Linked DNA regions of Oreochromis niloticus. The protein of the gene in region 2 purifies or fractionates together with the protein of the main gene of each other region. This does not show direct contact. Links are inferred from orthologs where the notes say so. Each region holds a gene or a part of one and is shown on either strand. Other genes may lie near its edges. The genes, in order: nup62l, nup214, kpnb1 and nup88.

Region 1 (6,930 bases), on a different chromosome or scaffold from region 2:
GTGCAGGATTCACCTTCCCTCCGAAGAGCAGAGCTACAGAAAAACACACAATATGAACAGTTTGAAGTATTAATACTTACTGATATTTGTCTCTGTAAGTTCAGGGTTTAATGTGAGACCTTTTGATTAGAGATAAAACAAAACTGAAGAGCAGTACCATCCTGAGGAGGCCTGAGCCGTAACAAGTTCTTTCAGTGTCACCATGTGCAGGAAATTCTAATAAAATCTTTGGTTGAAATTCCATCCACTCATCACTTATCTGGGTTCAGGTCACGGAGTCCACCCTAAGCAGACATGCCCAGACCTCCCTCTACCCATCCACCTCCTCCAATTTATCTGGGGGGACATTGAGGTGTTCCTAAGGCAGAAGAGAGCCATAATCTCTCCAGCATGTGCTAGGTCTCTTCCAGGGCCTTCCCCTGGTAGGATATACCTGAAACACCTCGTGCACTGATTAGGCATCCTGATCAGATGCCACTTGAACTGGCTCCTTTAGATGTGGAAAAGTGGCAACTCTACTCTGAGCCCCTTCTGAATAACTCAGTTGGGGCTATGTAGCCTGCAGGAGAGAGACTGGTGGTCAGGCCCACTCTCCCGTGGGTCCACCACCCGCAGGAGGGGCCGTAGAGGTTTGGTGCATTGTGGATTGTGGAACCCAGACCTTAACCTAAGAGACCTCAGAGAACCAATAGAGCAGCTGTTCAATTAAATATGAAAATAAAAGCATTAACACCCACAAACAAGCAGCAGCTGAAGGCGGCTGCGGTAAAGACATGATAGAGAATCTCAAGGGAGGAAACACGGTATTTAGTGATGTCCAAAATAAGCCATATTATATTTATTTATCTACAATGTTTTTATAGTGTAACTTTAGGCAAGTGAGCTTGTTTTGGTCTTTGCTGTCTGTAAACAATACACAAGTCATTTAATTTTCATGTAACTGCCAGAAAATGACACTGGGTGGGGTCAGTTGATTCCGGGTTTACTGTGGCAGCAGTTTTAAAATGATGCAGACAGCCTGAAACCTCAGATATCTTATCAGCACAGAAGTCTGGCTCCTGAACCCGAGGGCTTTCATTTCCAAACAAGTACAGCTCAGCAATCACATTACAAAAAATATAACATGTGCTCACTGTGCTGGTTGAGCAGCATCCTGATGGAAATCCTGCTCATGTAGAAGCGATCCAGAAAATACTGAACATTCTGGCTGACGATGGGATCTGTGCCGTACGCCTCCTTGTACTCCACAACGCCCTGAGCCATGGTGGGAATGACATCGTTGTGGCGATTTCTGATATTTATCACAGCATCTGTGAAACTAATTGAAGACATAAAAATTACAGCAATGCGTGAAAAGAATCTGCAGGAATAGATGAGCTGTTGCAGTGGTTAAAAGAGGAAACCTACTCATATGTGACTTTCTCGTCGTCTGCATTTTTGTCTTTGAACTCGAGAATCTCCTGAAGACTCTGCATGTACCTACACGGAGGAAAATGATCTTTTTGTATTTCACAGACTGGCAGGAGTTAAATACTGTTAATTCATTAAAATTAAGTGGAAAAAAAGGAGAACCTGCATACCAGCTCTGGACCAGTCGGACTGATGGGGTCCTCAATAAGTTATCTGGCAGCAAGTTAATCTCCTTCATGATGTTGGCTAGCCTCACAGGTAACTCCTGTCTGAGGAAGTTGAAGGATGTTTTCACACATGCATTTTCTGAACCTGAGAGAGAAACAAAAGGCTCAAATGCCACCTTACTACAGTAAAGGGATAAAGTGTAAAATAAAACAAGACAGCTGTTTCTCTGTGTGTAATATTAAGCCTCAAGTCAGCCTCATTTTTTAATATTTTGCTTGAAGAATGGGAAACAGGTAGAGCAAACATGTGCAAAGATACATAGAAATACAAATACACAAAGGCAAAAACAAGTTTGATAGTCCATACTTCAGCAACACAGCCTGAACTCTCTTTGTTATAGTTTTTCCCCATTTCTAAAGGACATGATAGTCTAAGGAGCTTGGAAAGAAAGCGAGTGGACTTCTGTAAGTTTCTTGAAGAAGTGGGTTTTGTCTTTTAATTTGGTCAAACCTCTTAAGGGAGAACTCCCACAAGGGATTAAATACTTGGGACTCTCGGGCATTTGGTTTTGGAACTGAAGAAGCCTCTCAGATGCGAGGTGAAACGTCTTCAAGACACTTATAGAAGTCCAGTCACTTTCTTTCCCAGCTCCTTAAACTACCATGAACAGGATGACTGAGAACCTACAAAGACATCTGCTGCAGATAGTTTTTATAGTTTTTTAGGCCTGGCACTTCTTTTTTGTTCCCTACTTGTCCAGTTTCCAGTTTAAACAAATGCAAAGATTACTATGAACCCTAATAAAGTCTGTCCTTAGAAGCATTACTCAAATAAATATACACTTTTGCACAATCCTGTAAATGTAACATGATAAAAGTTTTTCCATCATCAAGGCTGGATTACATATCAGATGCAAAACTACCCCCAAACCATTCAGGCTCCATAACCTCTTATAAACTGTAAACTTTCCATAGTTTCAGCAAACTGGACCATTTTCATCATGAAATAGAGAAAATCAACCAATCAAACAAGGGCCTAACCTTCATTCTTACATACAAGTGTTCAAACTTGACTTACACAAACAGGGCATATATTATATCCCATTAGTCATGTGTGAAGAGATACTTTAAAATCCCTTCCTGTTAAATACAAGGAAGTGTAATAAGGGGATGCTAGATGATTTTAAGAGTATCATTCGTCTTGTGAAATACATTCTTTTGGTATCAACTACCTTTACATGACAGAAGGAAAAGCTTGTGTTAGGACTGTTTGTATGGCAGTTATCCTCGGTTTAACTTTACATTAGTTTGTTTTTTCTATTTCCATATTAGTTAGTTTCCAGAATGTGTATGAATCATACACGTTGTATGAAGATTCTCCTTATTTTAGGTCAAAGTATCGTTAACGATGTTAGTAAAGCATTATGTTAGTAAATATCTACTAGTCTTGCAGCTTCTTACCAAAATCCAGAAACTGCTTCATTGATAGAGGGGAGGGTGAGAATTTGGAATAGTAGTCGATGTCCTTCCCTATGGACACGCTGCTCCTCAGAAACCTTAAAATCCTCATGCTTGCACGTTTTGTATTGCCTCACCTCCAGCTGTGACTGCTGCTTAATAAATAAATAAACAAACGGTACTCTTTTTTTAGGTTTAATCGCAGTTAGCATCCACAGCAACAGAGCCTAGCGAGGGCTGCAGCTTGGTTTGCTAATCTGTGTTGACACGAGCTTGTTAGCTAACCTCAACAGCCTGCCAACACACAAATAATTAATGATTTGCTTTTTCTTAATTTGGTGCCGTTTCAGCCTCCATTCTCACAGCTCCAGCACTGTTTTCCTAAATTGCCTTTAGCTTCTCGTGGTGGGATGCCTGGAAGAGGTAGAAAATTGTCACCATGGAAAGGAGAGTGTGCGGCCAGTAAGTTCAAAGAGTCACAGCGACGTCAAGATAAGCTACCTCTTCAAACAAACTTTATTGACCCAAATTTGGTGTAACGTTATTGGTAAACGTTACACAGCCAAACTTTTAACGTTGAAAGAAAATCGAGGAGTTTTTCAGAAGTTCCCGTAAAGTTTGTGAACTGGTTTCTTGTGGTTTTGAAGCAATTTTTTGAGTTAAGCTAACATAGGCGTGTGCAACTATATAGAAAAATATTCGTTTTGCTCTAGAAAAACGTTATAATAACGCGCCCTCTTGTTACTTAAAATTATTTGTATCTTAACTATATAAAACAATGTTCATTTTATGTAACTTTCGATTTTGATGGGAAGTGGGAAGCAGCTCGCACTGCGTACAAACGTAATACCTCTTGTTGTTAATTTGGTCTTTGATAACTTGAGCGTACTACTCTCCGACGTATGTCTGCCAGGTGACAAGCCAAACCAATCAAAGTTCGAGTTGTCTGAAATTATAATTCTAATTGGTCGTTAGACCTGCCAATATTACTAAGAAAGGCGGGTTATACTCCGCTAGACAAAATACAGGGCAAAGAAAAAGGTTATCTTTCACGCCAAACGCCGTCATTTCCTGTAGTTGACTACCGAACTGCCTACTTGAAAAAGTGTCGAGGCGGCTGGCCACGTTTTAAGAAGGATATGTTGCGATTTTTTTATCATTGTTACGATTAAAGTAACATTAAGAAGGGTGTAGTCAACTTTATTAGACCCCAACGTCTAGAAAGCCGTCGTAAAAGAGAAGCCGATTCTTCGGTAAGTTCCCCCTGGTGTGTGTGTGTGTTTGTGACCCGCCAAAAGCCAAATGATTCAGCGAGGAAGTAACCATTTTGTGCGTTAGTCGATTTTAATAATGTTATTGTTTTATCTTTAAGGAGAAAATGAGCGGTCCATTCACCTTTGGGCAGCCCTCTTCGGGCTTTACTTTCGGAACGCAGAAAACCACAGCCTCGGCCCCGGCCCCGGCCCCTACCACCGGCTTTGGACTGACAACGTCCACTCCTGCCACCGGAGGGGGCTTCACTTTCGGCTCACCCATCCAGACCCAGAGCACTACCAACCCCTCCGGTGGTTTCAGCTTTGGTACCCCAGCAAAGTCCACAACAGCCGGCGGGGGTTTCTCTTTTGGGGCACCCACCACAACGTTTGGAATGAATGCAGCTCCTCCAACCACAACAGCAGCTTCAGGGTTGACTTTAGGCTCGACGGCGACTCCAGCAGCAGGGTCGGGGTTCACTCTGGGTGCAAGTTTGTCTGCGCAGACCACCGCTACTGCACCTGCAGGAGGGGGCTTCACCTTTGGAGCTGCATCTCAGGCTCAAACCCAGCCTATAGCAACAGCCGCACCGGCGGCATCCACAGCCCCGAGTGGTCTCGCATTTGGAGGGTTCAGCTTCGGAGGTCCCAAGGTCCAGGTGACATCAGCGGCAGCCTCCACCACCACAACTAACACCAGCACCACAGGTGGAGGCTTCAGCTTCGGCACCAGTGCTCCCTCCAGCCTTGCCCAGCCAACCTCCACCGCTGCTGCTGCTGCTGCTGCTGCCGCCGCCGCCACAACAGGCCAGGGTGGAGGGTTTAGCTTTGGGATTAAACCGTCATCAACCCCAGCTCCTCCTGCATCCACCCAGGCCCCCCCATCTTTCGGGCCTTCTCTCTTCGCTCAGCCTATAACAACAGCTGCTGCCACAGCAGCAGGTCCTGGCTTCGCTTTCAATGCCGTTTCAGCTTCAGCAGCAAGCACATCCACAGCAACAACCACGGCTACTGGTGGAAGTTTGACTTTTATGATCAAACCTCTGGTTCCAGCAACCACCACATCTGCCCCCGCCTCTACCGCTACAGCTGCAGCCTCCACGACGGGTACTGTTACAGGCTTCTCGCTGGGACCCAAAACTGCATCGATCGCAAGCACCACGACAGCTGCTTCAGCCACAACCACAGCCAGCACCACCAGCACAGCTCCTCCAGTGATGACCTATGCCCAGCTAGAGGGGCTCATTAACAAGTGGAGTCTTGAGCTGGAGGACCAGGAGAGACATTTCTTACAGCAGGCCACTCAGGTGAATGCCTGGGACCGCATGCTGGTGGAGAACGGAGAGAAGATCACATCCCTCCACAAGGAGATGGAGAAGGTGAAGCTGGATCAGAGGAGGCTGAACCAGGAGCTGGACTTCATCCTGTCCCAACAGAAGGAGCTGGAGGATCTGCTCTGCCCCCTTGAGGAGTCTGTGAAAGAGCAAAGTGGAACCATCTACATGCAGAACGCCGACGAGGAGCGTGAAAGAACATACAAGCTCGCTGAGAACGTGGACGCACAGCTGAAGAGGATGTCGCAGGACCTGAAGGAGATCATCGAGCACCTGAACACGTCCAGCGGCCCGGCTGACACCAGTGATCCGGTAAGATGACGCCTCCAGTTTTTGATAATCGATAAGATTAACAAAGATTTGCTCACGTAATTCATGTCTAATTTCCTTTTTTCATCATCAGCTGCAGCAGATCTGTAAGATCCTCAACGCCCACATGGATTCACTTCAGTGGATCGATCAGAACTCTGTTCTGCTGCAGAGAAAGGTCGAGGAAGTGTCCAAACTTTGCGACACTCAGCGAAAGGAGCAGGAGAAAACCTTCCGATTAACATTCGACTGATCTGCACTAAATACTTTTACTTGTATGCTTACATTTTTACTCTGTAATCAGAGGTGTCATCAGGGCTTTAGATGGTGTAGATCCAACCCTCATTACTGTTATTTTGAGTTTTCTTGGTTGCATAAAGATTGATATTTTCAGTGCATTTGCCTTTAGAGCAGTGAAAATGATCCTCTCTTTCTATGTCAATTGTTATGTTTGTTCTAAAAAGTCTGATTAAATAAACCTTTGGAATGGAAGTCGTTTTTGTTTTGTTTCTTTTAATTATCAGGCATTAAATACATTCTTTTATATGTCAGAGGGAATGCTTTGTTCACACATACGATGCCCCTGTAATAGCTGAATTACAGCTAAGCATATGTATTTTGAAAAGAGAGGTGTGGATGGAATTGATTTGTTGTATTTACAGCTTTAAGGTTGTACAGTAAACAAAAAACAAACTGTTGATGGACAAGTAAGGCAAACATGAACTTCTACCACGCTGCAGGCCCCTCTGGTGCAGACAAGCCATATCTCTTATTACAAAAGATAACTGTTTTTTAAAGGTTGTCAACATGGCACATTGAACAGGCCACATAATACTTCGACTGAAACGGATGCAGGATTTGTTGCTCTTTAGTTTTTTAGAGTGGCAGCTGAAAATTTTTACATCAGTAATAATTTCCTGCAGGAACCTTTTGGAGATACTCAAAGCGCTTCCATCACAAGGATCAGGGTCTAACTTAAGTTTCTGGGACTTCAATAAA
Region 2 (7,819 bases):
AACTAAAGAGTGTGCTGTGCCCATGAGCAGAGGAGACTGGATATATGGAGTAGTAAAGAAGTGCACTACACTGGGCGGTAGAAGAACGAATGTTAGAGAGAAGCACTGTTCCACCTCGATGATGTAGTGGTGGTGGTGTGATATGCACCGATACTACGCAGTCCTGCTTCCTACCTGGCTGTTTGTTTGTTTTACTGTTTGTTCTTTTTTTCTTTGGGTGGGTGGGTAAATTATTGAATCAAACTTATAAGAGCAATTTATGCTGGCTTATTGCATTTGCACTCAAAAGAAGGTAAAGGGCCGAGAAGCTGAGGGAGGTAACGTGGACCTTTTTAATTGAGAGGCTGTAACGACAACACCTGAAACGAGTCTCTCTGACAATGACTGTTTCTACGTTTTGGAGAGGGGGTGGGGGGAGCAAAGCAATGTCCAACAGGGACTTTAAACCTGCATTCGTCATACCTGATTTCTTCTTTTTGATATCTGTTTTTTGCCACACAGCCTTTCTTCGTTGTGCCATGCATAGATCTTCCCTATCTCTTTTTTTTCTCCCTATCAGCAAACGAAAGCACAGAGATTCATTTAAGTGAAAGAGAAGCCGCCAACATTTTGGGGAAAGTGGGTTTCTGCTACAGAGAGTGAGAGGTTAAGTTAAGAACTGACAGGCTTAGTACTAATACTATTCTCCAAATATATGCTTTGCCACTTCATGAGCGGGGCCAGACTAGTCTCTGTCTGTGCTCTTGTTTCAGGGTCTGTTAGGGGAAGTTTTAAGATGGCCCTGCACAAGAAACACAGGGTTATAATTGCACTAGGTAGTAACAAAAAGGTTTATAGTGTTTATTTTCTTTGGGAATAAATGCGATCTGCCGTAGATAAAACAAGACTGTGACACGATGGCTGGGATGATGGATGAATGTAATCTGTAGCACTGCTGTGGTGAGGGTCCAAGCTTTGATTTGAGTATAGTAAATTCTACAAAATATGCCATAATATAAAATTAATGTGAGGCTGGGTGGTGTTTAAACCTAAAGCTTTATTGATATAGTGATTTTTTTTTTTTCTTTTTTCAAACCACGAACAGGTCTTCCAGTGTAGTGAACATCGTTATGTGCAAAACTGAGCAAGGTTCACATGCAGTGCAGACTTTTTCCCTCTGTTTATTTGATCTTTTTTTTTAACACAGAGATTTTGCAAATTGTACCTTCATATCATTTTTCGTTTATTATTCTTACAGGTTTTTCTTGCAGGGAAAAAAAGAAAACAATATTCAGTTGTCTATTTGAGCCACTTAAATGTCTGATCACTTCTGGTTATGCCAGTCAGAGTAACAGACTTGAGAAATGGATATGTGTAGCCTTTATTTTGGAAAATATAGAAAGTAGCTGTTATAGCTTCAGAAAAAAAGAGAGAGAAACCTTTCTACTCAGTTGGTAAACTGGGCAATGAGTGTGATATGCTTTGTATTTAATATTTCTCTCTGTGTGTTTTTGTGTAAAATAAATCTTTGATTTTGATCTTTTTGAATAGGCGGACTTTCGCAGAGATACTAAATACATGGGGAATATGAAATCAGCTGCAATTAAAATAAAGCAGTAAATAATAACGGGTGGGAAACATGGATATGTTCCACTGTAGTATTAAAGGGGTGTGGAGCAGTGCCTTAGACTGTGAATGTGTGGGTGTGGATGTGTGCCATTACTTTGTGCTCAGAAGCAAACAAGACCAAGGATCTACTAAATATAGCCAGATAACACTTTTTTTGGGCCATTTTCGAGTTTAAAATTCCAAACTAGTAATTTTTAATCTAATAAATGATATTAATAATGTAGTCATTTATTCACCTTACATTCTTGCTTTATGTTTTCCATCATGTTGGCTCACCAGCCCAGTATTACATATTTACAGCACACCTCTTAAGGAATCTGGTTGAACACCCTTGGAAGAAATTCAAATGAAATCTCATTCGTAGTATAGTCAAGTATAGTCAAACCTGTTCATCAGTTAATCACATTTAAGGTGTGGCGGGCTTTTGTTGTTGTTGTTTGGGGCGGGGGGGTTTTCTTTCTTTTTTTACGCACGGTTTCCTTATCATGCGCCGGTTTTGACCAGCTCATTCACCTTTTCTGCCCCGCTGCAAAACAAAGCCATCAAAAAAAAAAAACAAAGCAGAAAAATAATCCTTTAACAGCACTTGGGGTTTGATCCTTTTCTTGTGCAGGGTAAATGAACGATGTTGCACTATAAATGGAGAATATCATGGTTAACCCTTGGGAAGATTGACGTGGCCAAAAGAGAAAAGTCCAGTTACACGTATGTTATGTATCTGACGTGTTTCTCATTTATATCAAACTTTTAGTTTTTCTTGGATGGTTATTGAATAGAGGGTATTTTATTGCAAATAACTTCTTCCTCACTTTGCATCGGGCTCTGCTCACCCCCACACGGACACTGTAGTTTTTTGTTCCAGTGACTGGCTCATCATGAAAAACAATACATTTATATGCAAAGAGACACTTGTACCATAAAATGCATGCCATTCGCACACTCACCGCAACCCAATGAAACCTCTGATCTTTATGCACCATGTATTTTATGCTGAATAACTCTTGTCACTGTTAGTAAACAAAGATTGAGGTGTCCTGTGGTGAGCAGGGCTGGATTTTTTTATTATACAACCTGGCCTTTCGCTGAATGTTTGCATAAAGCTGAATTTCTTGTATTAATGACAGCAAAGTAGTGACAAAGAGTGGAATACAGAGACCAAGTACACAGTTCAGTGTGTTCACAGCTCAGCACACTCGGAAGAAAATGCACTGAAGGTTTGTATGTGTATTTACGTGTCCTTGTACATAACGCCAGCACTTTAGAACTACTTGGAAAGGTGAAAGGAAAAACACTGAGAGCAACTGGGTGTTAGGCAAATGAGGGGTAAATGCAACTTTTAAAGCCATGTGTTCAGAGCGCTGACAATCAGAATAGGACGAGACCCAAAGTGCACTATGGGAGATACGGTATGACTTGCTATGTGCTCTTGCTGTTTGCTTTGTCTTTCTTCAGCTTGCTTCAGTCTGTGCTAGCTTCCTTTCCAGAGTGGAGGGACATGGTGATGTTATCTCCAGCCTTCTTGGTTATAAGTGTGTGTCTTTACAACCAGGACTGAGTCAAACTTTGGTGCTTTGCAAACAGAGCTGTCCCCATGTTGACATGGACCATATCTGTCATGCTCTGGTAAGCATGTTCTGGAGGTGGTCCTGAGCCCTTTGATGGACAACAACCCTACACCGATCATGGTAATGTTCTTCACTATCAGCTGGGCTTGGATCAGGCAAACTGGGATGGGACAATTTCAGTGTTGATGCCGCTTTATGTTTCAAATGAAAAAGATGTTTATGCGCCTTCTGACTCAAGCATCAATAATATATACAACAGAAATGCAAGTTGCCACTTTTGATGTAATCTACCTTTCATTCCCATCATATTTGCCATCACCAGTTTTAAGTTGTATAGTCCAAGAGTACCCAATTTCTTTAAATGCAATACAGAAAAATCTGCTTTCTAATAAAAGTCCTTACTTCACCATATACTGTCTTTTGTCTCTCTTTGCGTTTGCCAAAGTACCTACAAAAGGATGCACTTGAAATATATTTTTCTCTGGAAGTTGCAATTTATTGTAGCTCTGCATGGCTTCAAACATGTAAGTAATGAGATTCCAGCAGAAAGAAGACAAATTAGTGACAATAATAATTCTCACTGTCTGTGCCACTGAGCTGTGAAATGCTTGTGTCATTAAAATGGTGTTAAATTTTGCTGGATGAGTCACTGGAGTCCCTTCAAAGATGAATGTAACATACAGTATACAGCCAGTTTTATTTCATAAAGGCACAGGTTTAGAATTGCAGGCAACACTGGATCGATCCAAATCAACCATCTTAACCTAAGCATTTCATCTTTATGATATATAAATATTTATATGTACTGGGGGGGGCTCTTATTAAGCTACCACTCATTCTTACAATCTTTTTTAAAATTTATTTTGCTATGAAAATGAGAAATACTGAAGATGCAGCAGTTTATTGAAACATGCATGAATATATGGTATGTGAGGTGAAAGAATGTGTTCAACTCTAACAAGATTGAAAGTCGGTATTTGGTATGACTACTTTTATCCTTGAATACAGCCTGAACTCTTGTAAATTCTTGAACTAGTCTTCAAGGATCGTTCTCCAGGATTCTTGAAGGACAATCAGAGCTCTCCTTTGCTGGCTTAGCTGGCTTTTATTCCATTCCCTGACAGCCACCAGTCCATTTAGATAATTTATGCTGAAGCTTCGAACAGTAGAATTGTAGATTAACTATTAGCCAACACTATTATAAGTTTTGGTTAATGGCTCATGGAAATCACTTTGTTGGTGGAAAAAGTGCTATTATATTACTGTAAAAAGTGTGACCTTTTTAACAGTAAGTAAAAAAAATGCATAAAAGTTATGTTTTCGTATACACACACGTGTGGGTATGTATGTATACATATATGTATATATATACATATATATACACACACACACACACACACATATACAGTACATATATGTATATACAAACTTACACACAAACATAACTTTTATGCACTTTTTTACTTACTATTAAAAAGGTAAAATATATACCTTTAATTATATATATATATATATATATATATATATATATATATATATATATATATATATATATATATATATACACACACACACACACACACACACACATGCCTTTCACTCAACCTTTAATTGCAACTCTGGAACATACGCGACTGTATGAGCTCGTGTTCCCGCAAGCTGCTCTGGTATCTACTCGTCATCCTAGCTGGTTTTTGTTTTTTCTACGGAAAAATCGCGCGGTGTGTGTTTAGTTGTCCTGATGTAGCTAACCAAAACTTTCTGTGGTACATACTAGCAAGAAATAAACGAATACAGCAGGTCTTTTGGAAGAAAAACCCTCAAAATTTCACAATGAGTGACGATGCGGACTCCCCTCCTGAGAGGGAAATGAAGGTATGTCTCTGTTAAAGTTGACTTGACAGGTTAGCATGTGTAAGTTACCGTGTCAGTTCATCCTCAATGTAGTGGCTAGTTTAGCTAGCTAGCTAGCTAAACAAGCCACTTGTCGTGGGTTATGTTTTCTGGTTTAGGTATCCTTAGCCTCACGATATTTACTGAACTGTAATGACTACTTTGATACGATAAAACATTAGAGACTTTCACAGCGGTTTAAAAGCATTTAAATTAAAAGTAGTTACGGCAGTTTCATTCATGCCATATTTTTAGCCCGCTACTTAGGGTTAGCACCGTAGCCGGTGTGATGTTGTGCTTGTAAAGTTAAACGCCGCTGTGTTGGGTGGATTCGTCCTATTAAATTATGCATTTGTAAAATAACGTGTTCTAACACACGTTGCATTTTTTTTATGTTTAAGTTTTATGTATTGCTGTAATATTACAACAAGCCTTGCACCGATAGCTAACACGATATTGTAACGTGTTAGCATTGTGCTAATTGAGAGGCATTACAAACATTTGGCTTTGAGATCACCCTTCAGGCTCACCAGCTAGCTTGTCAACAATGTTTATTTACAGTTTGTATTATTCTGTCTCAAAGACGCTGCGTTTGCATTTACCTAAGTGGACCCACAGTTGTTAACAGTTCATAACAGTTTACCATGAAATGAAAGTGTTTGCCTTTCGTTTTAGGATTTTCAGTTTCGTCAGATGAAGAAAGTCAGAGTGTTTGAGCCCACCGAAGATTTGCCAAAAGACAGATCCAGCCTCCTTGCCATCTCAAATAAGTATGGCTTAACTTTTGTGGGGCTTGACAGAACTTTCAAGGTGTACTTAACTCGAGATATTCTGGCTGCTGATAAAGGTGATGGCAACTCCAACGAAATAGGTATGAATCCACTACAGTTTTAAATAGTGCAATAATGACAGGTTAAAAACACAATGTTGTCATGACTGATACACCACATGTTTTATGTCATTAATAATTTTTGCTGTTTCACTGTCCACTAACATCTTCTTCCGTATTTTAGTCAAAGGAATACCAGTACTGGCTGAAGTGACCGTGGAACTAGTTTTGCACCACTTGGCTCTCAGTTGTGATGAGCTCACACTGTCCGTGTGTGGCATGTCTGAGGAAGCTGGCTTGTCACTCACATTCTATGATGTCCGCACGTTCATGAACAAGGTAGTTATTTCAGTCTGTCTACCTAATGTGCTAACACAGTCGAACAGCTGCTGCCAAATTTCACCTTGTCTGTTAAATGTAATGATGTTGTCTGATTTTTGTTTTAATTTGCATTCTTTGCTTTTCCAGGGAAAACTACAGAAGCTACCATTTGCATTCCACCAACCAGCTGTAGCACCTGACGTCTTAGTGCAGGACCTGAAGTGGAATCCTGTGCAGGTGTCTGTGTTGGCTGTCTGCCTCTCTGATGGCAGTATAATGATTTTGGATGTTACTGACAGTGTCAATGTGCAGGCCAGGCTGCCTTCTTCAAGTGGAATTACCTGCAGTGAGTGACACTCTTGACATAATTGCTAAATTTATCTGCAGTCCATATCGGTGATGTGGCTCAGTAGTCGTTTACTTGCTTTGTTTACCACAGTTTGCTGGAGTCCAAAGGGAAAGCAAGTAGCAGCTGGAAAAATGGATGGTACAGTCACGCAATATACACCAGTAAGTTATTATAATAATTTTGAATTAAAAGCAAATTGCTTAACAGCCTGTGGAAGCTACAGGAACAGATTTTTCTCCTCTGTTTTAAAGGGACTGGAGGAAAAGAAAGTTATCCCATGTCCACAGTTCTTCACCCCTGGCGAACCTGTAAAAGGTAAGGTAGCCATACCTATGTATATAAATTTAAACTATGAAAATGGTCCATACACTAAGGTTTTTATCTTGGTGGTGATAGATTAGTAATAGATTGCAATGATTCCATAAAATATTTCAAATTGTATAGGAAAAGGAGGAGCTGAGTCTTGCTGTTTCGTTGATGTTCCAATTTCTTGTCTCTCTTTCCTATTTGTCTCTCACAGCTGTGGATGTACTGTGGCTGAAAACCTATGTGTTTGCAGTAGCATATGCTGCTGGAGATGGCTCACTTGAGACCCCCCCTGAGCTAGTGTTGATCTCACTCCCAGTAAGTATGCCAGGCATTGGTTTTTAGATAGATTTTTATCTGGGTTTATCAGGTTTATAAGACTCTGGTTCTACTGTCGAACTGCTGATCAGAGTATGAAGCTCAGTTAAGACCATTTATGGGTACTGGGGGAAAAAATCATCACTGCAGCTCAGTTATGGAGAAAGGAGTTAAATTCATTATCCACATTTTCATCTTTTACCAAACTTGAATTTTCCTTGCTTGCGTTTCTAAGTTTTATCACATACATTTTAAAATGTATTTATATATCAGCAACATGACAGTGATAACAATTCAAGTAACAGAGTTAAACACATGTATCTAGCAGATTAGTTATTGATCCGTGAAGTGTGTGAAAAAGATAACCAAGGTTCAAACTGTAACAGTTCAATTTATACTCAAAATATAAATGCACAGCAGTTTTTAAACATTGTTTACAAATATATTTGTGTATTTATGTTTAACATAAATACATTTAGATTATGGTTAGGAATTCATTAGAGCTGCTTTTAAGTCTGGAAATCTACAAGTCATTTGATCACAGTCATCTTTATTCAGAAATATTCACATCATCCCCACATGAAGTGAAACAGAGCTGGAATGATCCAGCAAACTGATCATCACGATCTA
Region 3 (7,741 bases), on a different chromosome or scaffold from region 2:
CTCCCTCTGAGCGTGTGCGTGATCAGACTGATCACGCTTTTTGAAACTGAGCCTCAATCATCCCTGTTTGATTTTATACTTGTGTCCATCACCTTCGATCAGCTTCCTCTGATCAATCATCAGTTTTCTCAGGAGTATTTGTTGTCTTTGATTTTCTGTTTTCTATTTATTTTGTGCCACAGCAGCGCTTCCATCCACTCCGATTGGAGACATTCCTGTTTTCTGGCTGCTCACACTCCATTTGATCAGCTTCCTGTCGTTGCATCGTTCAGATTACTTTGAGAAATATGAATCTGTTTGCTGAAGAAACCTATTTCTGCCAGGAAAAGAAAAACATGGATGAACAGTCCAAAATCGAGTTTGCAGAAGCACGTCTGGACTTGTTTTATAAATCCTGTGTGTGTGTGTGTGTGTGTGTGTGTGTGTGTGTGTGTGTGTATAATCTTGCTTTTGTTTTAATAATCTTAATTTAGCATAGACTTATTTTATCATATCCCTAGTTTTTCTTATGATTTGCCATCAGTTGATCTTGTTTCTTGTCGTGTTCTTGACTCGTCTCAGGTTATTTCTTAATTTTAGTCACTCTGTAGTTGCGACCGAGAAAATCAAGATGATGACTTTGGGTCTTAAGTTGTTTCATTCATGAAGCGTTTGTTTTCTTGGCTTAAATGGGCTTCGGTCGTTTCTTGTGGGCGTCAGTTATGAAAAAGCATTCAGTTGTATTTGAGCAAAGTTTTGTTTTGTTTTTTTTCATGTTTCCATGGATAAAAGCAGGGAATTTCAATTATAAAGTCGCACAGATGTTTCATAAATGACGTCCAGATGCTCAGCTGTAACTGTTGGGTTTATTTTTCTTGATGTATGTGAACTGCCTGAGTTTCCTGTGGGTGGAGGGTGATGTTCAAAATGTTTTTTATTTTGTGATGTTTGTATTTTAAGATGTACACGTCTGCGACACATCAAATGGCCGATCAAATCACAGCGGTTTTAATGACTAAAACTTACTTTCAGGATAGACTAGAGTAAATGGATTGCCTTGAGCCAGCTGGCAAGTTGGTTAGCTGCAGTCAGTGCTGCTTTACCTCCGCTGCTCAAATATCACTCAGACTATTAAAACTAGTGGACAAAAAACGTCAAATTAGTGAAAACGTCCTCTAGCTAACCCACATTAGCGACAAGACCCTTTTTAATTTAGGGATTTATTGTTGTTAGCCAGCTAACACGCTAACACTAGCTCTTTAAAGATAAAAATAAAAACTAAAGAATTGAGTAAATTGCATAGAGCAAAATAGCTAATAATATAATGTTGGAACTTACATGAGAATCTGGACAGGAATATTAAAACCTGAGGGCAGGAAATAATTTGTCAAGTTAATTTATAACAGCTAAAGATAACAGAATTAGTTTTAGCTAGCTAAATTATTAAAGTATAAACTAAAAAATAAAAAAAACAAAACACTTTTTTTTTGTTAGGGAGATTTTTATTTATCAATAAGCTAACAAGCTAATTCTGTTTAATTTTAGCTTTGAAACTTGTCAGGAAAATTCCAAAATAAGCAGGAAAAGGGTTGGATTTATCAGACTAGCTGAAGTTAACTGCAAAGGCTGTAGAGGTTTAGGGTTGGCTGGGTAAGAATACCTGATACTGTTAAAGTTTAAAAAAAGAAAATGAGCGGGAAAATGGCTACATTCTTTAGGCTAGCTCAGAGGAGCTAAAATACCCAGAGGTTTAGCTAACATTGATTCAGAACTTGGTCAGAAAAATAAACGTGGAGGAAAAGATTAACCAGGTCTAAAAGTTTAGTTTTTGTTTGTTTGATATTTTTGTTTTTTTTGTTTGTTTTTTTTGTAATGATTACATTCTCAAGCTAATTGGTGTTAGCTTTTTGGTTTAGAGTAAAGTGTTCACGTCTTTCTGGGGACATGATCGTAACTGTTTACTGTCTGCTATTAGTCATTTTCTGCTGTTTGTTTTAAATATGTTAACCGTTGCCGGTGTTCAATTCTTAGGAAAAAAATGCAGCATCAGCACCTTCTGTTAGTTGGTATGAGTGAATATTGCAGCGCTGCAGCCGAGGTATCGCAGTGTTTCCTGCAGCAGTGCGTCGACTTTGGGCTGCTACCGGCTGTGAAATAAAAGTATTATGGGTAAATTTCAAATCGCCTGTGACGCCTTGTTGTGCCATAAACGCACCAGATCAACTGTCAGCATATGAATGGGTCATTTTTTTTTTTTAAACATATTTTATTTTTTCTATTTGATGAGGGGTTTTTTTTTTTTTTCTTTTTTCTTGTTTTGTTTTGTTTTGTTTTTTCGTAGGGGTGGCGCCTCGCATGCTCTCTGCCGCTTCAGCTAGCAACAAATGAGGAGGTCAAATGTGACTGGACGATAATTGCTAAGTAATGAAAACTGTTTTCGAGTCGGACACCTGCGCTCTCCTCTTAGTAAAAACTGAATCATGTGGTGTTTGATGTCCTTTTTTTTTTTTTTTTAAAGATGCACTGGATCATCATCTTCATCTTCACCTTTTGCCAAATGTAGTTTTTGTTGTGAAAAGGGGCATTTTATCCTGTTTTCCCTCTGTTGGGTTCTTTTTATACTTTGTCCATGACTCTTCCATTGTGTTGATGTTAAAAAAAAAAGAGGAAGATGTTGGAACAAACGGTAAATAGACACAAAAAGACCAACTCAAGGCAGCTACGTATGAGTGACTACTGTAAAATGACTAATAAAGAAGCAATGGGTTTGTTTTTCAGCTGTGTCTCTTTATTCAGCTCGACGTGTTTTATTCAGACTTTTCCTGCGTCACTTCACCTGCACTCACCTGGCTGTGGCCTCTCTCCTCTAATTATATATTTAAAAAATCAAATTATGGAGCACTTTCCTCAAAGTCCTAAAACAGATCAACACAGAGTCAGACACACAATCATAAATGTGTCAGTATGAATGTCTGCAGCTGCTTTTAGTAAAAACCTCTGAATCAAAGTCGAGGAGTGACACCCAACCCCTCTCTCTCATATATATAAAATTTAAAAGCAGAACATTCTAAATATCCTGTCACTGACTGGAGCAGACCGGGATGAACACAGGAGGTTTTCTGGGTTTCCGGCTCGTGCTCGAGTTCTCCAACATCGTGGAAGAACGTATGACTCTGGTGTTATCTGTAACAGCCTGTTCTTGCAAATCCAGGAGCCCTCCTCACCAGAGCCATGTCTACACCTGTCCATCACCCATCAGTCCGAGTCCAACTTACACTGGCAGCTGCAGGTCGGCCTGATGATGTGTCCATGCAGTGAGGTGATATTTCCACCAGGGCCACAGAGCGCTGTCACAGTTCAGTTTTATTCATGTCGCTCTGAGCCATCACGACGGTGTCTTGAGACCTTTTAATCGCGCCTGGTTTCAGAACTCGGAGATGATGATGGAGATGCTCGAGGCTTCGAGACAGGACCGACTAACAACAAGATTCCGATCTCTCCTTCAGGAAGTCCTTTCCTTCAGCAGCACTTCTTGCTGCCCTCTGCATGATTGACCTGAACGATCACTTTCTGGTTCAGGCCTCACCACCTCCTCGCAGCTCGGCCTCCCACCAGAGATGAGGAGTCCAGGCAACAGAAAATAAAGTGAGCTCTCCTTTAATGGAGGCCACAGGCAGGAGGACGGAGGAGGAGCTTGAAGATCGAAAGGCTTTGACGACCTGAGGAGAAGCTGCTGACAGAACTGCTGACTTCCTGTAATTGCTTTTATACAGCGCTTTCATGTGACGTCATTGTTTATGTTTTTGTGTGTGTTTGGTGTCTTTGTCTTCTTCCTGTTTCACGTCAGTCTGAGGACAGAAAACATGACATTGTCCTGCAGCAGGTTCAACGACACACTCACAGACACGTGATTTCAGCACAAACCAGCAGCTGGAGCGCAGAGCAGCTACAGGTACCAGTACAAGTACTTAGTTACTTGCAGGAGAGACTCCGTACGCCGAAAAGAAGCCAAGAGGTGCGTGCTGCTGCTGCGTTCTGTGTAGCTCGGAATCCACAGCATCAAAAGGGATCTTTGAAGAAAGAAAACGTTTTCAGCTGAGCAAACTTTAGCACAATTACTGCGCTCAGCGTACTTTTTCCTCCAAACGTCTCATTTTGTCAGCTTTGGGCTCCATCCACCTCCCATCGGGAGGAGGCCCCGGGGCAGACCCAGGACACGCTGCAGAGATTATATGCTGACCTGAGAACGCCTTGGTGTTCCCCCGGATAAACTGGGGAGAGGGAAGTATCGGCCTCTCTGTTTAGGCTGCTGCCCCTGCGACCCCGCTCTGGATAAATGGAAAAGAATGGATGGATGGGTTCTAGTGGGAGGAAGGCTGGAGCCTATCCCAGCTACCAATTTAATTTAATGGAAAGGTATTTATAATACTAACAGCTGTTCGACTGCAATGTAAAAGAAAATATTTTCAACAAATGAATGAATACATAAAAAATAAACTGTGTAGAATGAGATATTATGTATTTGTGTAGTTTAAAAGTGATGTATGATATGTATATTTTCAGTCATCAGCTCCTGCTCCTTTTCAAGCATGGATGCAGTGTTATTTTAATTGAAAGGAAGGTTTGTGTGTAGGAAATGAATTACTGTTGCACCATGTGTGAAACAAAAATGAAATGAAATCTCAGTGTACTGAGACAGGATGATATGGTGTCCGGCGGTCCCTAAAGGCACCACGTTTTCGGCGTCACTGCGTGATATCCCTCCGCGGGAGAGAAGCGCGCGGCCCTTTCCCTCCCTGTAGCACAGGATGCGAACGGGCGGAGGTGAAGAGACGAGACGTGACTCTGCGCCGACGCTGTCAACATTTCCCGCAACATCAGAGTGAGAATACGCCGAACGAACACCGGGGAACCTCCGCCACCTGTATCACCAACTCAACCCGTCCTGTGCCTGACAACGACCGAGCTCCGTGGAAGAAATATAATCCACTGTGGGCGCTGCGCGGCAACCGAAAGTGTCGGACTGAAGAGAGGCAGCCGGGGGAAGGAATGGAGCTCATCACGATTCTCGAAAAAACCGTCTCTCCGGGTGAGTCCCTGCACCACGCACCGCACACAGCCGGCGACCCGGACCCGATGCCGAACCCCGGGCCGGGGGGTGCGGTGTTTGCGAGACGGCGGGCTGCCCCGGAGCACGGGGGAAAGTTGGAAGCAGGGAGGAGGGAAACCATGCTAGCTCACTGTGCTAACCCGCTAGCGTTACGGCCTGACGCCGCTGGTGACTTAGCACTCTTCCGGGCGTTTAAGCACACTTTACTGGCATTGGTAACTCGTTAGCCTGTGGACGGGAAACCAGAAGACGCTGTCATATCGTCATCAAGTCGATTCGGGCCCACATAGGCCGTAATGCCGGCTGTATGTCCCCAATCAGAAGCCGCGACCCTGCCCATGCCCGGGTTAGCCGCTAGCTTCTTCGCTAGCTCGGGCCATTCAAACTGTCGACCGCTTTCTCGGTGTGTGCTCCCGGGTAACGCCGCTTTAGAGTCGCCGCGGGTACAGGCGAGCGCTCTGGTTGTGAGGTGACCTCTGCTCCGCTGCTTTAAGCGGAGTTGACGAAGTTTTAGCGGCTCCGCTGTTTGCACATAAAACTTCATGCGCGTCTCTGGAAACGTGTCGGCTAGCTTTAGCCTGCTAGCAGAGTGCAGGTGGCTAGCGCGCATGTTGCAGGGTCGGTGTGCTTCTCGGTACCACAGAGGGCTCTCACCGGGGTGGGAATTAAACTTTCTGACTCTGAGGTGACTCATTAGTGCGGGACATCGACCCCGGGCCCAGGTGCTTGTGTGTGAACGTCTGCTGAACACGTTTAACCACCGTGTGTTAGCCCGTCCGCTAACCAGCCCCCTCCTCTCTTCTCTGTCCGCAGACCGGAATGAGCTGGAGGCGGCGCAGAAGTTTCTGGAGCAGGCGGCCATAGAGAACCTGGTGAGTATGGAGGGAGAAGCAGTCGGAGCTCAGGCTGCTGCAGGAGAGGAGCGGACTGGGGCCGAGGACTGCTGGATCCCGCCGGCTTTTCCTCCTTCCTCCTCCCCTTCCTCCCTCTGCACAGGCGCACACGAACACACGCACACACACTGTTCATAAATGTGTCACAGTGAAAGCCTCTGTTGGCTCCTGATATGACCGTGCCAGGGTCTGCATGCTTCAGCCACTTCAAGGTCTTCATCAGAGGGCGAAGGTGATGCTCCCACACTTCTGCATACCCTTTTTGTGGTCCTGACCTTTGACCTTGCCCTCACATACTATTTAAGTACAGATGTTAACTTCAAGCAGAACAGGAAGTGGTTCGTAGCAAGTATAAATATGTATGTCCAGCGACTATATCTCTGTAAACACCCCGTAAACGGGCTGTTTCTGCTGGTCACATGACAGCAGCTTTCTGTGACCAGGTGTGACCGGCAGGTGTGAGCAGGTGGCTCTCTGTGAAACATCAGTGTGAGGGTCACAGCTGTTCCAGGGTCTCTGTGAGGGTTGGAGGCCGTCTCCACGGGTCGCTCATCTTCAATGTGTGGTTAGTTTTGACTGATATTCTGTAGTGAGGGCGGGGCTTGATGAGTTAGGGTGATGTGGGTACGTGGTTTACTTGTTACTCAGGGAAATGTTTAAATGTGCTTACAGATGTGGTGACTGGCATGTACAACTCCAACTAAAAGGTGCAGATGGTGGGGGAGTTGGGGTAGGGCCGGTGGGGTTTGCAGTAAAGCCGCCATGGGGCCGTGGCGGTGTGCGGTGTAGTTTGTGACCACGTGGGTGCTGTTGTCACGTGTCACTGGGAGACCAGGTGAGCCATCCTGAGCAGCAGGTTCACCTGAAGAAATGTGTCTTCCTGTTTATACGCACAGACACTCCTAATGATCGTCAGCTGCGTGAGGTGATGTCATCGTCGGACCAATAAAATCAAAGACGACTTTCTGTAGTTTTTATTTTGTAGTTTTTGTAGCGTCAAGAAGATAAATATCAGACTCTGTAGTCACATGACCTCGGTGTTAGAGACAAAGGTGAGAACAGTTACCGTTTATCTTGCAGTTATAAATGAAGCCCCGCCCCTCCGCTTTACAGTGTGTTGACAATAAAACCGTAAACTCGGCAGAGTGTAACCTGACCAGGTCCATAACTCCTGCCACACGCCGCCATTGCGGCCCGAGAGACCACTGATCTAATATTTAAAACTGACTCAGTTCAAATCCAGATGTTTCAGCTGGATCGTGGTTTCTGCATGCTAAAGAACATCTGCATACACACAGTGTGCTGCTGTGGTCGTCTGCTCACTGCAGAGGAACAGGAAGCTGTCTGTCCAGAGAAGAATAAATGTTCTCGTTGGAGCTGATTGAGAGCACCTGGACACCTGCGTGAGGCGTGACGCTGATGGCGTCCTGCAGACAGAAGAAACGTAGTTGGCAGTTCTTTGCTGTTTGCCTCTGTCTGCGTGTGCTACTGCCACCTTCTGGCAGCAGGAGCACGCTGCATCCTATCAGGTGTGAGGGGAAAAGTATTTTAGTACAAAAATATCTTCACCTGTTTTCTTCTCTGGTCTGATGTTAGTTGTAGCTCGCCGTCCTTCAGCCTGAAGCAGAGCGACGGGGTCAGGTGTGCCTCACCTGACTGGCAGGATGTCTGGAAGCAGAGTGAGCGATCCGATCACTAAGTCTGTGTTAAATGCTCCGCCCAGCAAACTGACACAGACTTCATGTTGACAAGCTAAAGT
Region 4 (7,610 bases), on a different chromosome or scaffold from region 2:
TTTAAAAGTTCAAACATCTTACCAGGACGTGGATTATTTAGCTCGGTTCACATTTGTTTGTTTTTTTCGCAGTTAAATTATTAACTGGGATATTCTGAGTGGTGTTTGCATCTTCCCCCTGTTTACACGGGGTTTCTCCAAGTACTCTGGCAAATACAGCAACCAGCAGCTGTGAACATGTCAGTTAATACACCTCAATATAAAACTGTTAACTTGGATTTGTCTCTTAATATTTCTGCTTTTTGTAGCCATCCTACATTGAGACACAAACAAGTTGAATAATTTCAAGTTTATTTTTTTATGCAAAAAAGTGAGCAAACAAAATTGAACAGCTGTATAAGGTTAGTTTAGCACAAATTATTTTTAATTTTTCCTGCCTATACATGGGACATTAAACTGAGTATGTTAGTGACTCAATCATTAACATGTAAAAAATATTGATGTAAAAATATACAATTTTTTGTAAGAGAAAATCCAACCTTTTGTATTTCTGTATTCTGTATTAAGGAACAACATTTGGTATGAAAGGTTAAGTTACACTAGCGCATATAAGATATAGCATATAAGAACATAGCACAACCACTTAGAGCTCAAGAACTCATTACAGTTTCTTAACAAATGTCAGAAAAAAAATGCAAATGTAATAACTGAGTGTATTCCATGGAAAATTTGAAATATTTTCCCAACTATACAGAAAAAAACTAGCATTTTTCTGCAGTGCTTAGAAACTAAAATGATTTTTGATGTCTTTGATCTGCTTCATCATGTCACCAATTTGCTGTCCTTGTTCTTTGAGGACATCCTGAACAACCTTCTTCTGGGGAGCGTTGAGAGAGACTCTTGCCCTAGTTCCGGGCATATCCTTGTCCACTTGTGTCTTCTGGTACTCCATCTTCATGTTCACCTGTCTGATGCAGTTGTCCAGGTGTTTCAGTTGATCATTGATGGTCTGCAGCTCCTTCTTCATTTCTTTTTCACTGTTTGACAGTATGGGTAGCTGGCTTTGCAGGCTACACAACACTTTCTTAACCCTGTTCATAATGGTTTCTTGGCGATACTTTGCATCTTCGTATTTATCAGCCAATCTTTCTGCTGCTTCTCTCAAACTCTTCCTCTCCTCCCTGCAGAGAGACAACTCCTCCAGCTGCTTGTTCTTCTGGCCTGTCAGGAGTTTCACCCTCCTCTGCATCTCTTCACGAGCCATGTCCTGCTTGAGAATGTACTCCTCACGGAACACCTGTGTGGCTCTGCTGAGGAGCTCCAGACACTCTGGAGGTGGTGGTGATGTGTCCTTGTCTCCAGCTTTAAGTACAAGAGGATTGGTGGAGCTCCGTGCCAGGATGTTGCGAATGTGCTGCTCAAAGGAGTCTTCGGCCAGCCCACGCAGAGGGGAGCTGGCAGAGCCCAGACCTGGGTGGGAGCAAAGCAGGGGAGGGGAGGGAGGGCGAATGGAGCTCAGAAGGGGTAACAGAATGCACTCGTAAGTGCTGGTGATGCAGATCATGGTGGCGCCCAAGGCGAGGTCCGACACAATCAAAAAACCACGAATTGGAGCCGACTGACTGGTCAGGAGCGGTCTGGTGCAAAGAATGTGCTCTACGATGCAGCGCTTCTCAGCAGCCAGCTCCTGGAGACTGTCCTTATCCTCCTCATCTGATTTAAGGAACCTCTGCAGCTTGTTGACCCAGATTAGCCCCACGCTGTGCACTCCTGCTTCATGGGTGCAATGATACCGATGCTGACAGAGGGGGTCTCTGTGCAGTTTGATTGGACAGGTGAAATCAAACTCTTGCGGCTCCTCGTCCTCTCCCGTTGCCACTTTAAGTATGAGCTCTAGCTCAACACACTCAAACACATAAAGAGCTGGCACTGTCTCTGTGCCTCGGATCCACTTTTCCACTGCCCCCGTGTCGTCCTCTTCTTCAGACTCCAGCACAACACAGTGATACAGTGTGCCCGTTTCTGTGGCGATGACCAAGATACTCGGAACACATGGCAGGCACAGAATGGCACAAGCATCATAGCCATAGTTATCCTCTGCTGCTGGATACATGGGGAGAGGTCCAACGGGTTTACTTAGACTTATACCGTTTACCTGGCTCGTGTAGCTCACATAGGTCTCCCCATTTTCGTAAAGAATATAGAGAGGGTAGACCAGCTGGTCTTTGGAGACCTGTCCTGGCAGCTGCCGAGGAGGGGATGAAATCGGCCCAAAGTCAAACGCCACTGCTATCTCTCCCAGAGAAGCTGCGTACGAACGCACCGGAGGGTGGAGGCTGCTCTCATCTTCTGACTGCGACACTGGCAGGATTTTGGCCGATGTCTGCGGAGACTTCAAGCCGTAAAATCTGATCGTGTTGTCTGAAGTGAGCAGCACCATATGTGGCTCGTCAGTCTCGCTAGGGTACCAAGCCGCCTGTCGCAGACTGACCGACGGTGAGCTGGTGAAGAAGCGCTCCGCCACAGGGATTGTCTTGCAGTTGATTTTGCTGCGTCCGCCTTCAAACTCGGACCTCTTGCCCCACCGCAGTGGAAGCTCCAGGACCGAGACGCCTCGTTGACCGACCAGCGCGACATGGTGCTGTGTCGGGCTCACCAGCACCTGGCACACTTCAAAGAGCGGCGGGTTGATGCACAGCAAGGTCTGATACTTCCCGCTACTGGAGCTCTCCTCTGTGTTTAACTGCCGCAGGTTGGTTGTGTAAAACACGCGGTCTGAATCGTCCCACACGAAAAAATCCGCTCCCAAACAAAACGTGAGGTTCTTAGCGATCCCTCTTTCACTCGAGGTGCGCTCCAAATCCAACTTCTCGCGTATTATTTTGAATATCGTGTGGTTCGGTAAGTCATTCAGCCACTGTTCTGAATTGAGTGCCGCCATCTTGATCAACTGTCTGATTTCTGAAGGAAGCAGTAACGTGTTTTAGTTTTTTTCACGACAGTCATTTAACGTGTTACGGTGGCCGGTGTCGTATATTTTGCAGAATCACCATGGCGCTGAAAGAGACCGCTGGGCTGTATGAGACACTTAAAACGGAATGGAACAAGAAAAATCCAAACCTAAACAAATGTGGAGACCTTCTGAGTAAGCTTAAGGTAAAGTCGCACATTTGCTTGTCCAGGGTTGATTGTAGGAAGGAAGTCTTTCTATTTGTAAACGTTAGCACTGTTAGCAAACAGATTGCTAACTTACGCTAGCCCAGCTAACGCTGTACGTTAACGTGAGCAACTGGATAAACATCGATAATTAAATTAATTTTGGTAGAATAGTGTAGAGTTTTCACTTGCTAACTACAAACAAATGTTTGGAGAGGGATCGAACAATATCATCATTTTAGGATAATGATGAAACAAATGATTAACTTAGTCAATGAAAGCTAACGTCACTGTACCTTTCGTTAGCTCAGCTTTCTGTTTGGTAAGTTTAAGCCGAGTTGAAGCAGGTATCACTAAAAAGAGGTGCCCCAATAAATTGATTAGAACCTTTAAAAAAAAAAAGTGACCCGTGATAAGGACATCAGCAAAGATGTTTTTCGTATTCAAAAATTGTTCGTATATACAAACAGTTTTGCAAGGCAAAGTCAGTCAAATCTATTATATTTCTATTAAGAAGCAACTGTTATGAAAGTTATATTAGCCCATATATAAAATACACCTATTCAATTCAATCAATTCCACGTATGGTACAGCCACTTGGAGATAAAGAGCTCATTGCAGCTTCTTGTTAAATGACAAAAAATACAAATGTAATAACCAAGTGCATTCCAAGGGGAATCTGAAATGTTCCCCCTAACTATACACAACTAGCATTCTCTTCAATGCTTAAAAACAAAAAAGGTTCTTGATATCTTTGGTTTGGTTCATTATGTCACCAGTTTGCTGTCCTCGTTTACTAAGGACATCCTACTGGACAACTGCCTTCTGGTGGGTTTTAATGATGATGTTGGGGAAATTTCACATTCACAAAACAAAACAAGATGGACCATCTCCAAGTCAAGCTTTGATTTATTCATTTTTTTAATTAGGAACTATTACAACACAGCACTAGCGTTAAGGATCTTGAAAAGGAAAAAAAACGGTTACAATAAAATATAACTTTGATAAATTAGATTGTTAATGTGTACAAGTAACTCTGCTTTTTCCTCTGTATATTTATCTTGTGTTCTTCCTTGTTTCTTCCTTATTTCTTGTGAGATAACCCTGGCTTTGAGATGCTTTGTATATGTAAATGTTAATTTTTAAAAACAGAGTTTGATTGAGAAACAAAGGAAAAAAGTTTCAACAGGAGTCTGACATCAAAATAAACGTTTTATAAGGTTATGTAGGTTGTTAGAACTCAATGAAAACCAACTTTGGGGTTTGCTTCTGTTACAAATAATATGTAATGTAATTTAGATTTACATTGTTACATTTATCTTTTTTTTTTTTTTAAACAGATTTCATTATTGGATCTGAACTTTTTACCTACCAGTGGATCCTCGCTCACCAAGCAGCAGCTCATTTTAGCTCGTGAGTACCTGCAAATCAAGCTGCCACAAGTTAACACAACAGCTTTTTAAGTTACTTGCAAAATAATTTCTAAGTACAATTTATGCTTGTATTTTAGGTGATGTCCTTGAAATCGGAGCCTTATGGAGCATCCTCAAGAAGGACATCCCATCCTTTGAGCGATACATGGCCCAGCTAAAATGTTACTACTTTGATTACAAGTAAATGCCACTTTCTCTTAAAGAATTTGTTGCCCAAGATTGAGGTCTTTTTGTAACTGAAGCAATTATTTACATCTTTTTCTTTTTTCTTTTCTAGAGAAGAGCTGCCTGAAGCTGCCTACATGCATCAGTTACTTGGACTGAACCTGCTCTTCCTGCTTTCGCAGAATCGCGTCTCTGAGTTTCACACAGAACTCGAAAGATTGAGTGCTAGAGATATTCAGACCAACGTGTACATCAGACACCCAGTGTCTCTAGAGCAGGTGCTATAGCTTACTCATGGACAATGCCTGATTTTGATTTGGATGATTTTTATTGTGCAATATCAGGTGTTAAAGAAAAAAAAACAATTTGTGTGTCCAATTGGAAATTTGTACCCTTAAATTGCTCAAAATTAGTGATATAAGGTTCCAGATGACTTTTTTTTTTTTTTTTTTTTTTTTTACCAGTCAGCTGGGATGAAGCACTAATATCATTAGTGTCAGGCTAGCATTAGTGTTGACTTGAAATTATTGAAGCTACATTTGTAAAATAGTTTTGATCCTACAGTAGATGTTGCACCAGAGGGTTATGTTTGACTGCTATTTGCAGTAATTCCTTTATATGCTTCACTAAGATTTAATAGATTGCTTTTGGCCTGAGATAGATCAATGTGTGCTCTGATATTTTATACCCATTGTGTATTTGAAGGTGTATATATATTAATTTACACAAACTAAATATTTATTTGGACAAATGCTTGGCTTATTGGAGTTTTACTTATACACAATAATTTAAGTCCTGTTATAGTAACTTTGATGTAAATGCAATCTTAATATTTTATTCTCTCTCTGCTAATTTCAGTACTTGATGGAGGGAAGCTACAACAAAGTGTTCCTAGCCAAAGGCAACATCCCTGCTGAGAGCTACACCTTTTTTTATAGATATTCTTCTGGACACAATTCGGTAAGGACCGTAATGATTACAATGCCTTTAACACATTCTGCATTCGCTGTAAATTTTAAAATATTTATCAGTAGCCTACAACCACATAACAACAGTTAGATTAAAAATAGTTTTTGCACACCTATTTTACATAGTTACAGCGAATAGTGTAAAGACAACTCAACACAACAAACACAATGATTTATTTTACTCTCATAGTTGTACCAATACTTTAACCTGAGCAAATGTGAAATAGATGGCAGTTTAAACAACTTCTTAAACAACATCTTTCCTGTCTTTGTCTAATTTTTTATGTTTCTTAATTTGTACTGTGAACTCTGGAAAAAAAACAACTTTATTTCACGGTGTTGTGGCATAATAATCTAGAAATGTATAAAACGTCATTAAAAATACAACTCTGTCCTTTGAAGATGACTTTAACTAAAGCTGACCTTTTCAATTGCAGCGATGAGATTGCAGGTTGCATAGAGAAGGCGTATGAGCAGATCCAGTTCAGTGAAGCTACCCGTGTGCTTTTCTTCAGTTCCCCTAAAAAGATGACAGAGTATGCCAAGAAGGTAAGTCTGTTTTTATTTGGGAGTCAAACCTGTAGTCGAATCCAGAGATTATGAGGAGGAGACATTAGATTCCTGCTGTGATAACATGATTTAAAGAAATTAAGTTTCTGCTTAACTCTGTTGCTTATGCAAATGCTTATTAAGATTTATTAGGTAAACACTGGCTGTCAGGTGGCCTTGGTGCCTGAAATATTTATGTAAAGTCTAAGTTAGTTTTTATTTAACGTGTTATGTTGTAGATGTCATTATGATTGGATATGGGGAGGGGGGTTGTCAGAAACTGGCTTGTTAAGATACAGAAAATGTCCCTCCAGATGTTAGATAAAACTTGTGCATAGGCAGAACCTGAAAAATAAGTAATATCCATAAAGATTAACATCAGATGGAAAAGATAAATTTTACTGTTTGTTTTCAGATGTTCCTTAACAAGTTGTCTATAATTAAATTATAATAAGTCAAATAACTACATGAGCAATCTGTAACTGTTGATTTTCGTTTTATTTTTATTTGTTTAAATGAATACATTTTTCCCCATTTCAGAGAGGATGGAATTTGAGTGCAGATGGCTATTACTCTTTCACCAATCAGCAACAGCGGACAGAAGAGGTGAACATCCCTTCTACTGAGCTGGCACAACAGGTCATCGAATACGCACGACAGCTGGAAATGATTGTGTAATCCGCCCCCAGGAACACACTCAACCATGTACAGATGCACTCAGACAAACACGCCACTGGTCCAGTATACATCCAGTCAGCTCAAACACAGTTTCACTAAGGGATATGACTTCCTTTATTGCCAGAATGGTTTATTTGTTTCCTATGCCTCACAAATCAACTGGCATCCATTATTCCTGTTTTCCCAAATCTACCTGGAAGTCTGACAGATTGGTTTTTATTTTAATACAAAAAACCCACTGAAAATATCACCTTTGGTCTAATTAGCAGTTGCTATATAAATATCTATATTGCAGACATGTGAGGGTCTGAGTGTTTAAAGCTGGTTCTTTTATTCAAAATACCATCTGTCCACCATTAAACTTTAGTTTTCTTTAGTCATTCCCAGATATTTTTTAAAACACTGGGTCTCTTCTTTTTCAACTGTAAGAAAGTTTAAAGTCATCACCCTCATTTTGGTATTCAGTGTCAAACAATTGTCAACAATCTCACCATTTTTTTTTTCCTGAACTTCAAATTCTTTTTGTATACAAAGTTTTCTCCTGGGTAGAACTAAAATAAATGTATTGCCCTTGCCTTGTATCTAAAATTGCCACTGAAGTTTGTGTTCGACTCTTCCTCACTAGACATTTTGTAAACACATTGATCTACAATAAATGATTCATAAAACAAACTTTTTGCATGACTTGGCATTTTAGTGTTGTGTTCTTTATACATGTCTA

The links.
Region 1: the proteins of nup214 (region 2) and nup62l purify together in Homo sapiens (affinity purification with mass spectrometry; 5 studies listed by BioGRID and IntAct, with this or other methods). This does not show direct contact. The link is inferred for Oreochromis niloticus from reciprocal best matches to the Homo sapiens genes NUP214 and NUP62.
Region 3: the proteins of nup214 (region 2) and kpnb1 purify together in Homo sapiens (affinity purification with mass spectrometry; 3 studies listed by BioGRID and IntAct, with this or other methods). This does not show direct contact. The link is inferred for Oreochromis niloticus from reciprocal best matches to the Homo sapiens genes NUP214 and KPNB1.
Region 4: the proteins of nup214 (region 2) and nup88 purify together in Homo sapiens (affinity purification with mass spectrometry; 6 studies listed by BioGRID and IntAct, counting the BioPlex papers as one, with this or other methods). This does not show direct contact. The link is inferred for Oreochromis niloticus from reciprocal best matches to the Homo sapiens genes NUP214 and NUP88.

Annotation. Positions count from the first base shown.
Region 1 is NC_031987.2:16,402,540-16,409,469, reverse strand, and holds nup62l (nucleoporin 62 like), read left to right. Parts: upstream 1-4,107; 5' UTR 4,108-4,288; intron 4,289-4,407; 5' UTR 4,408-4,413; coding exon 4,414-5,934; intron 5,935-6,025; coding exon 6,026-6,184; 3' UTR 6,185-6,423; downstream 6,424-6,930. Other genes in the region: pdk1 (pyruvate dehydrogenase (acetyl-transferring) kinase isozyme 1, mitochondrial), read right to left, coding at 1-33, 1,134-1,318, 1,408-1,479, 1,581-1,722, 3,039-3,147. UniProt on the Homo sapiens protein: Essential component of the nuclear pore complex. The N-terminal is probably involved in nucleocytoplasmic transport.
Region 2 is NC_031972.2:19,143,033-19,150,851, reverse strand, and holds the start of nup214 (nuclear pore complex protein Nup214), read left to right. Parts: upstream 1-4,814; 5' UTR 4,815-5,006; coding exon 5,007-5,048; intron 5,049-5,741; coding exon 5,742-5,937; intron 5,938-6,079; coding exon 6,080-6,234; intron 6,235-6,363; coding exon 6,364-6,562; intron 6,563-6,655; coding exon 6,656-6,726; intron 6,727-6,816; coding exon 6,817-6,880; intron 6,881-7,085; coding exon 7,086-7,189; intron 7,190-7,819. UniProt on the Homo sapiens protein: Part of the nuclear pore complex. Has a critical role in nucleocytoplasmic transport.
Region 3 is NC_031969.2:34,683,161-34,690,901, forward strand, and holds the start of kpnb1 (importin subunit beta-1), read left to right. Parts: upstream 1-4,720; 5' UTR 4,721-5,028; coding exon 5,029-5,068; intron 5,069-5,902; coding exon 5,903-5,961; intron 5,962-7,741.
Region 4 is NC_031979.2:33,379,440-33,387,049, reverse strand, and holds nup88 (nucleoporin 88), read right to left. Parts: upstream 2,992-7,610; 5' UTR 2,882-2,991; coding exon 722-2,881; 3' UTR 275-721; downstream 1-274. UniProt on the Homo sapiens protein: Component of nuclear pore complex.